Neurospora crassa OR74A: one gene and its partner. The protein of the gene in region 1 interacts with the protein of each later gene in a biochemical or structural test. Links are inferred from orthologs where the notes say so. Each region holds a gene or a part of one and is shown on either strand. Other genes may lie near its edges.

Region 1 (7,005 bases):
TAGGTAGCGCGTCGGGCTAGGATCTTTGCAACGAGGAGAGGATCGGGTGCTTCCCTGGCCAGATAGCTTGCTGCTGCCGAAAGGTAGGCTCTTGCCTCGGCCAGGTCAGGAGTTCCGTTGTGGACGGCATAGTATCTCTCGTCGACATTGTAGTTGGCAAAGGTCGGTACGTATCGTTCGCTGCGCGCGCGTTTTCGCTGTCCTCGGCCTCGACTGTCGAGCTCTACGAAGGCGGGGTCGACGGGTGGAGGAACAAGCAGACCACCAACGCGCTTCCAGATCTGGCGCGGGCCGCAGCGGCGGAGAGCAATAACGGGAACGCGCTCCCATGCTTTGGGAGAGGCGATATGCGGAGGTGCTAGAAAGTCGGCTGCGAGAAATGGTCGCCTGCAATAAGACACGGATGCGCGGTAAGTCATCATCTCCATGCGACAAGGTGAATTAAGTGTCGTAGGCGAGCGACAGGACAGAAGAGGCAGACATACTCTTTGGAAAATGTGAAGATGGGAGTCTCGTGGAGAATGGCAGCGTTCAAGGCGCCGCCCGTAAAGTCCACCATTGTCGCAATTGGTGTCCCCGTCATGCAGCGACGTCTTTGTGTGTTAGGTACTTATGTGATGGTGTATAGTGTGTAGTTTATTGTGTTTAGCTAGGTATGCAGGATAACCGTGGTTCGTTGTCGCGTTGCTTGGATAGGAGACGGCAGTGGCAGCGATGAGTCCCGATGTAAACAAAGGTCGCTTTGGAAGAGAGAAAAAAAAAAAATCAAAAAGTAAAAAGAAAAAAAAAAAGAAAACAGATAAACTGTGTTGCGGAAACAGCAAGCAAATACGCGCCGAAAGTTATGCTTTGCCAACAATGCAATGGGTATCCGTCATGAGTCGTCGTGAGTACCGAAAAGGACGTGGGAAGGAAGAAGGTGTCGCATGTGTTTTTCGGGGGGGGAACCTTCAAAAAGCAACAAATCGCGAAGACACGGGAAGGTGTGACTTGTTGAGTGACAAACCCTCCAAAGTCTGTTTCTGTTTACATGCCGAGCAATCCGCCAATCATCTTGCACCAAATCTGGAGCTACTATCGCTATGCCAAGAAGCCACGCTCCACCTGCTTTCTACCCCACGCGGGCCCAAATTTGAGGTAGGTACATGCACCAAGTACCTCGACTGCGTTGCCTGCCTGCCTGATGTCGCTCTGTCACTGCACCCGCCTTATCTTCACGTGATCCCCAAATCTTTCATTCCACAGCGGGGACCCTGCGCAGCGAACGGAAAGCCGGCCGGCGCACACGGCACCCATCTGATCGCAGTGAGAGTAGAGCTCCAGACAGGTCCGGAACACGGAAGTGGAAATCCCCCCGGTTTTATTCGAGCACCGTAACGGACACCTCCGACCGTGACCCCGATTGTCCCCCGGCCCCCCCTTCCCCCTCCTCCCGTCTTCTCCGATCTTCTCCGACAGAAACCGACAACACAACGCTGTCAAAATGCCCAACAAGCCCATCCGTCTGCCGCCGCTGAAGCAGCTGCGCGTTCGCCAGGCCAACAAGGCCGAGGAGAACCCTTGCATCGCCGTCATGTCCTCGGTTCTCGGTACGCATTGAGCCTTCTCTCCTTCCTTCCTTTCTTCCTTTCTTCCGTAACACTCCTAGTCCGCCAATCAAGCAAAGCGAAGCGCAAAAGAGGAAAAGAAAGCCAACTAATTGCGCCTTGAAAAAAAAAACAGCTTGCTGGGCTTCCGCCGGTTACAACTCGGCCGGTTGCGCCACGGTCGAGAACGCCCTGCGCGCGTGCATGGACGCGCCCAAGCCTGCGCCCAAGCCCAACAACACCATCAACTACCACTTGTCTCGCTTCCAGGAGAGACTCACTCAGGGCAAGTCCAAGAAATAAGCGACGACGGGCGTGTACGACTCTGTGCTGTGTCCCGACGACGACAACGATGACGACAACGACGACGAGGACGAGGACAAGGACGATAGGAAAGACGAGAGAAGAAAAAAAGACAAACGACACACTCAACCTTATACATAATTTGGGGATCCATTCAAGACCGATCATAATTCCCACGCCCCTTCCCCTCCCCCTCCCTCCTCTCAAAGAACTACTACAACCATGTTGATATCCCTGCGACGCCAACGCCATTGGATGGAGGAGGCGGGAGGAGTTGGGAGGATGTTAGAAGAAGAGTTGTCGTGGGAAAAGTTACTGCGTGGGAAACAATTGAAAGAGGATTAAGTGGTTTCGAAACAAAAATTACGAGGCAAGACCAGTTCGCGCCCTGGTGTGATACCCCCCCAAAATGGAAGGAAAGCAAGAGATAGAGATGGGAGAGGAGGAGGAGAGCGGAAGCATATGCACACCAAGACATGAGCTGGCATGGCCTACGTACGATGTGCTGCTGGCGTCTTTCACAAGTCAGTTCGGATATCTGGATGGCCAGCCGTTGAGGGTTGCTTGCTTGCTGCTGTACAATATTGTGGCAATATTCAAAGGAAAAAAAGCATTTGGGAGAACTAAGTGAGGCTTATGCTTATCCGGGCGTTTTAGTATATATTTGAATTTTTTCTTTTTTTTTTCCTTAGAGGCATTGTAACAATACAACTTACATACATCATATACTATAAGTTCATAAATTGCCGCCATGGTAGTTCACAAAAATGATTATCACACTGCGTTTATCCCTCCTTGGCGGGAACATCACGGACCGATGAGTCCATTTGAAACGGTAAAAAGGATCCTGATCATCAAATTTGCCTCCAGTACCCAGCCAAAGCATCATACTTGACTAAAAGGGGCTGTTTAGAAATTCAACAATGGGGATGATTCTTTGAATGCAATGTTCCGACAAGGGTGGCTTCGAGAGAAGATCGTGGCCAATGTCTTTCGATCAAGAGGTTTTTGTCTGGAACGGCAATAGTGTACACCAGTGAACTAGGATATTTGGATCTGTTTGCAGACAAAATCCACTCTTTAGTGGTTGATTTATTGAACAAACTACTGGATCATCCCACGAATCATGTTCACGAACGTACACGTTAATGTTCAAGCAGTTGCTTACTCTTCACATTAACCGTTATAAAGCACCTAACCTAAGTTTACTCTCTCCTCTGCTCTGCTCTAGACTCTATAAAAGACTGGAATAACTAACAGACAAACAAACAACAAAAATGCGCAATTGGGTATTCATATCTGACTATAAAGATCAACCAAAAAAAAAAAAAAGAAAAAAAAAAGACAACAACTTCACTGACCGTCAACCCCTTCCTCCTCCCTTCTTTTCCTTCTTCCTCCATTCCGTCCATCTATTTTCACTCTCGGCCCGCTCGCGTCCTCCTTCTTGCTCCATGCTTCCCCCTCTTGACCATGGGAAACCACCAAAATTACCGGACCCGTCCCGCTTGCGTCCAAGCAACCACTGTTTGGACAGCCGCCTTGACTTCTCTTTGATTTCCAGCAGAGAACTCACTCCAACTCTCATTCATCCGTGTGTTGTTCCCGTTGAAACCAAACCGAACAGAGACAAGACGGAAGCAAGGAAACCGTTGCTCATCTCATCCCCTGGCATCCATCACATTCTAACCCGTCCTGACAAACCCGACTCGACAAAGACCGATACTCAAAGACCGACAAGGTATAAGACAGCAAATAGTCCTTCACTACGCAGAAATGATGAGAAAACAATGATGGGGAAACAAGACAAATGAAAGAGGGAAGGGAGCTTGACCCGTGATGATGATGATGATGATGATGATGATGATGATGATGACAAAGGAAAATCCAAGAAAATGCCCGTGTCTATAGCCGACACCGATAAAAAAAATGATTCTTGGTGTGCGCGTGCGTGTGTACTCTTTAGAGAGAGAGAGAGAGTGAGTGAGTGAGATAAGAGATGACAACTAAAGGAAATGGTGTGTGTGTATAGATGTCTGTGATGAGTCGTTTCTTAGAAGAAGAACCGTACGATGATGATGATGGTGATTATGCGGGTCCGCCTTTGTCTGTATGTTTGGAGAATCCATGCATGCCAATCCTTGTTGCCGAGTTTCTGTCCCAAGACAAGATGATAAGTGAAAGATGGTACCCAAAAACCGAGAAGAGAAATGAGTTGTTTGTCGAATTGAGTTGCCGAACAGATGAGGGACAGTGATAAAAGTGACAGAATGTGACGGACGTGAGAGGGATGAAAGACAGGTTGTTGCTGCTGCCTTTTTTTTTTACAATATGGTGCTGTCCAAGTTTATTCCAAAAAAAAAAAAAAAGAAATGAGAAGACCGACGCAAGCGGGTGTGTTCGGAATTTTCTGTGAGCACACAATGCCACTTTGATGCCCTGCTCACTCCAACAGTTCCCCTTCGCAGTACAGGTCAATTTCCCCGGCGCTATCTGGGTTGCGAAGCCCCTCACGCCAATCCGAAATGGCGATTTGAATATCATCGTCGCTCTCGATCATGACGAAGTCGCCATCCTCATCCCGGTACCGTAACCTCAAATTACCCCCGCCGATACTGCTACTGGTAAACCGCGAAAGTTTATTGTCGATGCGGTCAATCAGTTTCTCGTAAGTAATGTCGTAGAGCACAACCAATGTGATGTAGTTACCGGTATCGCAGTGAACCTTGACCTTCAGTTGCGTGGGGAGCATGTCGTCATCTGTGGGTGAGAGCGGGTTCTGTCCGGACATGATCGGTGCGGTACCGAGCGATGGGGTGATGTTTCGCGTTCCCTCAGTCGGGGCAAGAGGCGCCATGCCCGGTGGGGGCGGGCCAGATGGCGGAGGGAAGCCGGTGACACTGCCTGGTGTTCCCTGGCGGATAGGCTGTGGAGGGAACTGATTCAATTGGCCTCCATAGTTCTTCCGCTCTCTGCCAGGGGAACCTGTCTGGGTCCGTAGAGGAAGGTCGTTTGCTGGACTGCCGGTATTGCTCCTGGGAATGTTGGAATCATGGCGGGCATGGGTTAGATGGGCGGGAATGCCTGGCACCGCAGGTACCCCTGTCTGGTTGATGCGCGCAGCGGCCTGGCCAGCAATGTCCGGTGTACTATAACTCCGACTGCGTGCCTGCTGAAACTGGCTGTTATCCCCCCGGGGCATAACGGGCATCGAGGGTCCTCGTGGGTTCCTCCCGGTTCCTGGAGATGGGCCGTCTCGCGATGGCGCCCTTGGCATGGCAGGGGCCGTGTAGCGGTTGCTATCCTCCTGCCATCCTTGGGGGGTACCGGTCTTGGGGAAAGGATAGCCGGATCCGGCACCGGCGAAGATGCCGCTCGCTGTGCTCGTCCGACTCGAAGCGGGCGACTCGGCTACGGGAGAGAAGTAAGACTCGCCTGCTCGAACAGCGGGTGATGGCTGAAGGCCAACATTGAGAGGCGCAGGTGCCTGTGGAAGAGGGAATCGTGGAGGTGGTGCGCGAGCCATACCTGCTAGACTGTCGCTGGTGGCGGACCGCTGCCGTAGACTTGTGCTCGATCCATTCCGCGGCATTGTGCCTGGCATGGCAACGGTCGGGGCAGCAGCATTATAGATGTCCTCGTCCTCTTCTTCGTCCTTGTAGGGATTCTCCAGTCCGTTGCCTTGCGAGGCGAGCCAGGCAAAGTTTGGCGGAGCTTGATCAGGAGCAACTGGGGCCGCTTGCGTGTTCTGCTTTCGCTGTTCTTCCAGACCGGCGGCCCACTTCTTCATCATCTCTTCGGTCTGGAATTTGATCATGAAATTCTCCACGCCCGGATCGCCCTTCCACCATATTTGTACGGTATACGAACCTGCACAGTCAGCAACTGTTGTGTTCCGCCGAGAATTCCAACTGTGTCGCTTACCAGGCTTGGAAATGGCTACTACATCGGTGACATTGGTCATGAAGATGCGGCCCTTAAGTTGTAGTTTGGCGAACTTGTTCCGCAACTTTGGTACGGATGATCGAGTCTTGTCCTTCTTGTCCTTGGCTTTAGTCGTAGTGAGTTCCTTGCAACAGAGCAAGATATTCTCAAAAAGATAGATCTCATACTGCTGAGGAAGGTTAGCGGTCCATTATCAGCTCGTCTTATACCAGCAAAAGGAGGAACGCATGCGCCAGGGGGGAGATACGTACGTCCTTCTCTTGTTCACTCTTGCCCGTTATAACAGTGTATACTCCGTGTAGGAGCAGACTTCCAAAGTTGTCCACCTTATGGCTCTTCCAGTCGTCTACTCGGTGTATAAGGTCCTGCAAGGCCTCTTCGAGGATGTTCTTATCAACGGCCGAATTGGCTTTCATCAAGACCCGTTCAGCAGCAGCGATGCCGGCAGCTAAATCCTCCTTGGTGTGCTCGTCCTCGCTCTTCTTCAGCAAATCCTTTGAGAACAAGCCAATTAGTATGCGCATTAGTACCATCAAAAGGACGCAGTATCCATACCTTGAGCAAAAGCGGGTACTTGACCAGTCTCTGCATAGGCTTGAGGAGGAAACCATCAAGGGTATTAAAATCACACGCGACCGGATGGCCAGCCTCTTGGATCTTGTCAAACACTTGCGTCGCAACCTGGGCCGCCTTTCTTTGGTTCGCGATAAAGGGTTGGTAAATGCCAAAGTTCTCTTCAGCTGTGACGAACAAGCTTCCCCATTCCTGCCTAGCCTGCGGCATCGAATTTGTTGTTTCTACCCTGATGAGGAACTTTCGTTGATGATCCAAGATGGCGTTGATATTAAGGAATATGTCGTGGATGAATTCGCCAGGGATAACGCTCCTGTGTTCCAGCGTCCTCTTCAGGTCGTGGAGGTTCTCGAGATCCTGTACGTATTTGCGCTCCGTGTCTACCAGTTCTCGAACAATGTAATCGCGATGGGTCATCTTAGAACCCGGCTGCGTGATATCATCTTCGGGGTATGGCAGGGTTTGGAGCAAGAGGCCCCGTTTTTCGGCAAGATCGAGCACATAGTTGATAACAGAAGTCACCTGGTTTTCCGAACATGTGCTCTCGTCAGCATATACTGTTCCATCAAGTGTGCAGGTAAAAAGGGGGCGCCATAAG
Region 2 (8,076 bases), on another chromosome or scaffold:
TCTTGTATTTCATTCATACCGCTAACCGCACGGCGTTAAACGACGTCCTGGCGGATCTAACTGCAGCAGAGAAGGAGGAAGAAGCCATAAAGCATGCGCTTGACGTCCGATCCGCTTTGGCACTTGGCAATTACCACCGCTTTTTCCGGCTCTACAACGACACGCCCAACATGGGTGCATATCTTATGGATATGTTCGTTGGCCGTGAACGCCTTGCCGCTCTTTGCAACATCTGTAAGGCGTATGTACTTTTCGTTCCCTCCATGTACTGTGATGTGTTCCTGACTTCGATTAGGTATAAACCTGATGTGCCGCTGCGCTTCGTCACGGAAGAGCTGTACTTTGAGTCGGATGCGGATGCTGCCCAATTTATCCTCGACTACCAGGGCCAGGATCTATTGGAGGATCGCGAGGGAACTGTTATGTTCCTGACCGGAAAAGCTAAAGAGCTGTTCGAGGGTCCGAGGAAGGCAGCATTTTCCAGGGTTGACATTAAAGGTCAAATCTAACAGCACTGAGTCCTTATTTCCTATCGTCGCCGCACCCGCCCACATCGTTCCCAACTCTTTCAAGACATGAGCACCGGCTGTCGACCTCACGTTTCTACTTCATCTCCGCCTTCGTAGTTTCTCACCTCGGTCACCGGGATCTGCACCCTTGCGTCGTCATGCAGTAGTTTGATATTATTGATAGCACGCCCTTCGTCGACCTATGTCGCTGTCCTACCCCACGACATTTGCGACCTGGGCTTCTATCGCCAACACCTCATGGGGGATTTCGGCGATAGAGAATACCGACGGGTTTTCTATCTCCGTTTCTTCGTTGTCAATTCCGATGTTACTCCCTGAATAGTAACGTGGAATGCGTTAGAGGAAGCCCACGTCATGCCTTGTGGAGCTCTTACACTGACGAAAACCACTTCTTCCCCCGAGTCGTCTCACGACCTCACGATCCGCCAGGTTGCCACTTGCAACGCAGTCCGACTTACCTTTTCAGCTAGTTCCTTCAGGACAGGCGCAGATCCTGTTCTTCAATGTCATTTGCCAGCATCAGGTCAACCTAATTGACCTCAAACGTGGTTGAGGCGTGCAGTATTCGAATCTGCCTACTCTACTCAAAAATGGAGACGTAATATCCACCGTTTTCGGAACCCATTCTCGGTGGACAGGATGATAGATGGCGTCTTCGCACATCGACCCCCTTCTTTCCCGATCAATGTGTCTTGCCGGAGGATCTCGACGTGTCGGCTCACGGGGTCTCTTGTTTTAGCAAGCATTAGGGTCATGCGGAGGTGACCTTTGGCGACGTGGAAGCAGCAGCATTAGTTGCTATGGTGCTGTAGTGGCACCCTGCTCTCCTTCTATGCGTCCTTACAGGCACCGCTCTCTTATTCAACAATTTTTCAGTATCCCTTGCGTTCCGGTGTCGGCATCTTTGGGTGGTGGTTTGGGTCAGCGAGCATAGGGTTTTGGCGTCTCGGGGTGTCAAAACTGCTTGCATTTGTCCCTTGTCTTTTTTTCTTTGTTCCTTCTTCATGCTAGTACAGGTAACTCAGGTGTTTGGCGTTAAGGGAACAATGCTAAGAGCAGGGAGGTTGAGTGGGCATGTCTTACAGTTAGCAAAATAAGAACGTACTTAGTGAGCTCCAGCACACAACACAGTCATATTGTGCGCCGTCGATATCGATGCCATCCTTGTTGTCTTTTGAGTCAGAGTACGGGGAGCCGGAGGCCAACACAATCGGCCGCGCATCATAATCAATGGTGGAAAAGGGTCGGGTCCTTCGACTTCTGCCCGCATTGCAAGCAGATGTGACGAACCTCCATGCTACGCGTTTGCTTCTTGATGCAGTTGCTAACTTAACCTTGGGTCGAATTGAAGCGGTGGCTGGTGAGGCGAAAGATAGACACCATACCATGTGGAAAAAGGAAAAATACCACGCTGCCTCATTGCTTACAGGTGCGCCAGCGGGCATCCCGGCCCGTCGTGTGCTCCTCGCGTCACATCCCGATTGGTCAAACCTCGTGCATGTACGTAGAAGTCGTGCATCGATAAATGGAAAGAGGGTTGAAACCATTGCCATGGAAAACATGGCAATTGGCGGCTTTTCTTGGGCGTTGTTCATGTCCAATAGAGAGGGTGAAGATGTTGAGTATTCGAAGGACGTCCGTCCACTTGCACTATTCTCGTGTTTATGATTCCCTCTAGGAGCTCGCATATTATTGTTGTGGCCAGAATGAGATGAACATGATACAAAGGCCGAACAGAAACCCCGAAATGACAAAAAGTGAGATTTGTTAAGCAAAAGAATAAGAAAAGAAAGAAAAAACTGGATCGGTTAATGCCCAGATTCCAAAATCGGGAGCTTTGCGGCAGAGCCCTACCAGGCCGTTACAGTGCTGTCTCTATCGAGTCTAGACGCCAATGCTCCTTGTTCGCTGTTGGGTTGGGTTGTTCTGATTAGTCAGGCACAGGCCGCGGAGCTTCATCCGAAATACCCCGAGACCGAGAACCGATATCTACCTAAAATTTGATCGCGATGCTTTTTGCTGCACCAATGAAGGAGATTCGGACTGTGTAGAATGAATCTGCCAAACATAGGTAGATCTGAAAATCCCGAGCTAAGTCGCCATCAGAAGGACATATGTCAGCGTCAATCCAGTGATGCTAGTACTAGGCTTTTTCCTACTAGGGGTTGCTTGTGAACCGTCTTGGAGGCCTTGCATTCTATCGAGTCCCCTTCGGCTTTCAAGTCCACCGACGTTATGATGGAGCCCGATGTCAATGCATTGACAAGGTGTGGGCTTTGAACATCTCATGACGCATCGTATGAGTTGATGCACTAACAGCAGGCATATTCCTGCCTCACAGCATCGACTTGTTGTCGACGACGACGCCTTTCAAGTCACTTGGATGGGTAGTGACGGAACAGACTCGAGAATGAAGCAATCAATCCTTCAGTTGAGGTTGGAGAAGTGAGAAAAAATCCTCAGGTACCGTGTCCATAACACCCTGGTTGTCGACTCGACTCAGCAAACCAACCACAGTTTCCGCTATGACAAGCGCGATCACGATGCATATGCAGTGGCTTCAAAGATATGTACAATATCATGCACACTAGCACGCACACATATCTTAGGCCAGGCAATGACAGCGACAAAGATACCAACGGAGAATACCTGAGGGAGCAGCAATCTTAGCTTTTCAATGGCCTCATTGCGCGCGGCTCATCTTTGATCAGATCGTGTAAGACTAGCAAGCTGGTTGGTTTCAGTTGAGATTTGACGTTGGCCGACTTCTTTCATTCGTTTGTCGCAAAGTTCCTGGTCGTATCGCGGTGGGCACGTCCGGAATCCCAAAGATCGAGAGCGGCCAAGAAACAGTGGAGGTACCTAAGAACGAAAGCCAATTCGAATCCACCACAGCCAGGTCCAGGGAGGGTGGGTCCCTCTGGACGTGAGAACCCTGGCGGCGCTCTCCAATTGCACCAACATGCAGGGCAGCAACTGCGCCAATCAACCAGGCCGGGGTGCCTTCAGGTACCTGCCCGCGCGGCCTCTGCGCTGCTGCAACGCTACAATTCCCCTCTTAAGTCGAGGTCCTTGGCCGTCCATTGTCATGCCGATTGTCATGCGGATGCTAACGGCTAGATAGAGGCAGCCACCCTTTCACGGTCAGGACACGGACATAAACTAGCAGACACTAACAGACACTAGGCGAATAAGCAAGCCTGAGTGGCTGTTTTTCCAACATGTTCCATGCCGTCCGTCTCGGCTAGGCTGGTGACTTGCTTGTGACCTTCATCACACCTACCCGCCCGTCTTCGAGCCATCTCCGGCCACCACCTCCACACCCTGTCGGCTTCCACTCTGCGAGAACACACCTGGACCCGACCCTTGGTGATCACCCTTGCTGCTTCCGTTGCAAGCTTGGCTTTGGGCTGTTGCTATCTCCCTTTTTATTATTTTTTTAATGCTATTGCTGCCCGTCCCGAGGACTAGCACGCAAGGCACGCAGGCCATATATCCCACCTGATCCTGATCCTTCCCCGCCACCGTGCAGTTTCCAGTTTCCATTCCCACCTGCCCGTTCGCTCGCTTCGTTCACTCATCACCAGTTCCAACTCTCGACAACCAACCTTCCTACTGCGACAGTCAAGTCCATCATCGCCGACAACACTCGTCGCAACACCCAACGCAACTCCCGGCGGATTGTCCACCACTACTTAGACATTCTAGAAGCGCTCGCCGGACTGGGACTTGCGCATTGAGCATTGGGTCTAGGCAGTCGGCATTGCGGCTGAACAAAGGAACAAGAGAATTGCATCAACACCACACGCCCACACGCCAGGCGGCCCTGATCAGGCTCAGACAAAGACGGAAAGCCAAGATTGAGGCAAACTCGGCCAGACAGCGAACTTGGGGTCAGCTATCCACTTGGGGAACAGAAGTATTGGGGCGCGACCATTTTACACGAAACGGTCGCCGAAATTAGCTGGACAACCGCTGCTTTCCAAATTACGTCTCCCTTACGTTCGCACGGTCGCAAACACTAGTGCAGCAGATAACGACCCCGTCCGCGATATCCACTCCCGTCATCGCCGCGCTGCTTTCCCGGCTCCCATCCGACCGATACATACGGCACATTTGGATCGTTACACAGATTCCACCTAGCAACACCCTCCACGACACACACACACACACACCACACACACGAGCAGAACCGCCCAGGACCAACCCCAGAGGGATCCTAGGCAAGCCCTCTCGCCGTCCGTCATTTGAGTCGGCGTAACCCCAACCACGATTGCCCGCGCACGCCGACACCAGGACGCCCGCTCCAAAAGTTGTTTGCTGACGCCTCTCACCCCGTCAGCCGTTCCTGTTTCTCTCTGTGTATAGCACAATAGTTCCGGTTTTGGTTTGTGTACACATAGCTTACAAGTCGTCTGAGTATCGCTGTCGGACAAGATGAAGGTACGTCATTCCCCGCTGTTCTGTGCTCTGCCATCCCCTCTCTCTTCCCTTCCCCGTCCCTCCTCCTCTTCAGTCCGATCGTTTTTGCTCGTTCCCCAGGAAACAGCCCTCGTGATTGTATAGCAGAGGCTTCACTGCTATTGGGGACATGAGAGATAGGATCGGGCTACGGCTCAGGTATTCATACACCATCACATAGGCGTTCTTGCCTTGGCCAATTCGTCACGATGCAATACAGCTTGCGTGAACCGGAAGAATCCTTTTTCTTAGTGTCTGCTCCATCTACACCCACAGCACCTCTCGAATTTTCTTGGCCTCGTCGGACTACTCATTTCAATACTGCGGTTTCGTCGTTCTGGCAACTAACAATGTCACGCGGTTTTAAGGCTCTACGAAGGTCCATCAAGGGTGGAGAGAAGGACTCCAAACCTCATATTACTATTCAACCGAAATCTGCCGTCGCCATCGTCCCTCCAAAGAAGGTATGTCTCGTAACAAGGTGTCAGCCACAAGGCGCTTAGGCTAAACTTGTTATCACAGGTTATAAAAGCTCTCTACGATTACGAAGCACAAAATGCACAGGAGCTTAGCTTTTCACGCGGCGATTTCTTCCATGTCATCGGTCGTGAAAATGACCCAGAGTGGTATGAGGCGTGCAACCCTGCGCTACCAGACGCTCGTGGTCTCGTGCCCGTCGCTTATTTCCAGGCCCTTGGACGTACGGAACGCGATAGCGGCCAGTCTCAAACCGGTTCACTGGGTTTGAAGACCGTAGATAGTGATTCTGGATACGGCGAAGGCTCGGCGGCCTCGCCTCCTGGAGCAAACGCCGCGAATCGGATGTCGAAAACGCCTGGCAAGAATGGAGCCATGGTTTATGGTGTCGTTTTGTACGATTTCCAAGCCGAACGGGCAGACGAATTGGAAGCCAAGCAGGGCGAGGCCATCATTGTCATTGCCCAGTCGAACCCCGAATGGTTCGTGGCTAAGCCCATCGGAAGACTTGGCGGCCCGGGTCTGATTCCCGTATCCTTTGTTGAGATCCGGGACATGGCGAGTAACACCCCTGTCCCGAACCCCCATGATGCCATACGAAAAGCTGGGATTCCAAAGGTCGAGGAGTGGAAGAAGATGGCTGCGGAATATAAGAACTCGAGCATAACGCTCGGCAAGTTCGATGTTGGTGGTGGCGGTGGTGGCCAACCACCACTTGACCAGGCCATGAACCGCTTAACTTTGCAAGGAAGCGCCCGGTTGAGCCAGCAGACTACTCATACCCAGGTACGTGTATTCTGTCCACTTACTTTGCGTGCGTGTTTGTACTAACAGGTCTTTGCAGCAACAGATACAGGCTCAAGGACAATCCTATTCGAGGCCAACCTCGACACTATACGCACCCATCGCAGCCAGGGTTCCGAGGTACTGCTTTGCCGAGGACAAGTACTGGTTTGTTATTGAAGCCGAACTGGAGGATGGTCGATGCTTCGAACTTTCGCGATACTACGAGGATTTCTACGACTTCCAAATCGCGCTCCTAACCGAGTTCCCTCTTGAAGCTGGAACTACAGGCGGCAAGCAGCGGACGCTACCCTACATGCCCGGTCCTGTTAATTACGTGACTGATGCGATTACGGAAGGCCGCCGCCACAACCTTGACTCTTACGTTAAAAGTCTACTGGAACAACCGCCACACATCTCCCGCTGTAACCTGGTCAAGCAGTTCTTTTCTCCTAGAGAGGGTGATTACGAAATCGACCCTAGCGTTGCTCGCGAGGAATACCGATTCTCTGGAGGCTCTGGTCCGTCCTCTGACTCACCAGCCGACGGCCTCTCACTACAGAGCACAGCCGGCAACAGATATTCTGCCGGTCTCGGTGTTCCTCAGAGGCAGCTGAGCATTGGCAACGGCCAACAGATTCCGGGACCTGGGCAGGCTTCACAGACCTCATTGTCACCTGCTATTATGCAGGGTGGTTCACAGATGAAAGTGAAACTGCACTTCAACGGCGACATCATCGCCATCCGCGTACCCACTGATATTCCATTCCAAGCTCTCCATGACAAGATTCTGGATCGTCTCAAGATTCCTCAGGGCGAGGACGTTCAGCTAAGTTACAAGGACGACGCGAGTGGCGAGAAGCCTCCTCTGATGAACGACGAAGATCTGGATATTGCACTGCAACGGAACGAAAAGCTGCTCGTTTACGTGGAATAATGGACTGACGGACTTTGAAACCCCAACCCATACACGTTTGTTGGCCATATTCCGATACACAGCGCATTCGGATACCATGGTCACATGCGCCATGTTTCACGAACATTTGATTCGAAGGCAGCAACTGGGTAAACTAAGCGCTCGGCCTTCAAAAGTCACGCCAGATGGCTACATACACAAGCAAGGCGAACAACGTGGAGGGAATTGCTCATTTGCGCACTCAGTTACATACCATCTTTTCTCGTTGACGGCTGCCAACAAACTGCTCTTTATCCAACACACAATGCGATATCTATACCCCACGCTATATACCCAAACGCATACGTAAATCATATAGGACTTCGCGGTTCAGTCGTTGTAATACATTTCGAATTGATCGGCTCGTCTCTCTCCACTCACTAAAATTTCTGGGACGCAGATGGTCATGGGGCATTTTGGATGCGGCAGGGACTTTGGGATACGGTGATATTTTTTTGGAACAGCTCAGGAGTCAGGCCAAAGGAGTCTGTGACCATGGTGAAAAAAAGGAAGGAAGTAGAGTCAGGGGAGGATCTGCGCGCTTGCTGGAAGGCTGCGGTGGGGCCAAGTTGGGAGATGGATTCTTGGTTAGGCGTGGGGGAGGGTGGAAGGATTAAATTTGATACCAAACTACGTTGCTACTCGAGGTCGAAGATGGGTGGTGGATTACCATAAGAAGAGGTGGTGGAGGTGGTAATGGTGGTGCTGAGGGTGATGACAAGGGACAAGAAGAAGAAGAAGGGGCCCTTGTGAATGGATGATGAATGAAATGAATTTACACCCACAGGCTTTTTGTGTTTCAGGATGTTGACCGAGATGGCGGGGGACACGGGGTATCGTTTCTGCAGTGTAGGTGAGATTTGAAGATAT

Evidence for each region. The genes of interacting proteins can lie anywhere in the genome.
Region 2: the proteins of cdc24 (region 1) and NCU06593 form a complex in vitro, tested with the Schizosaccharomyces pombe proteins (2 studies listed by BioGRID, with this or other methods). The link is inferred for Neurospora crassa OR74A from reciprocal best matches to the Schizosaccharomyces pombe genes scd1 and scd2.

Annotation. Positions count from the first base shown.
Region 1 is NC_026507.1:1,920,795-1,927,799, reverse strand, and holds the end of cdc24 (rho guanyl nucleotide exchange factor), read right to left. Parts: intron 6,930-7,005; coding exon 6,390-6,929; intron 6,329-6,389; coding exon 6,086-6,328; intron 6,001-6,085; coding exon 5,814-6,000; intron 5,760-5,813; coding exon 4,333-5,759; 3' UTR 3,088-4,332; downstream 1-3,087. Other genes in the region: NCU06065 (hypothetical protein), read right to left, coding at 1-387, 486-583; NCU06066 (mitochondrial 37S ribosomal protein YmS-T), read left to right, coding at 1,484-1,589, 1,723-1,889. UniProt on the Schizosaccharomyces pombe protein: Required for mating and morphogenesis. May contain a cryptic binding site for cdc42 that is enhanced by binding Ras. Interacts directly with scd2. Promotes the exchange of cdc42-bound GDP by GTP.
Region 2 is NC_026504.1:1,740,949-1,749,024, reverse strand, and holds the start of NCU06593 (MAP kinase activator), read left to right. Parts: upstream 1-3,734; 5' UTR 3,735-4,967; coding exon 4,968-4,973; intron 4,974-5,359; coding exon 5,360-5,455; intron 5,456-5,513; coding exon 5,514-6,254; intron 6,255-6,312; coding exon 6,313-7,188; 3' UTR 7,189-8,076. Other genes in the region: NCU06594 (GANP domain-containing protein), read left to right, coding at 1-241, 296-509. UniProt on the Schizosaccharomyces pombe protein: Required for mating and morphogenesis. Interacts directly with scd1 and with cdc42. May bridge and facilitate scd1 and cdc42 interactions.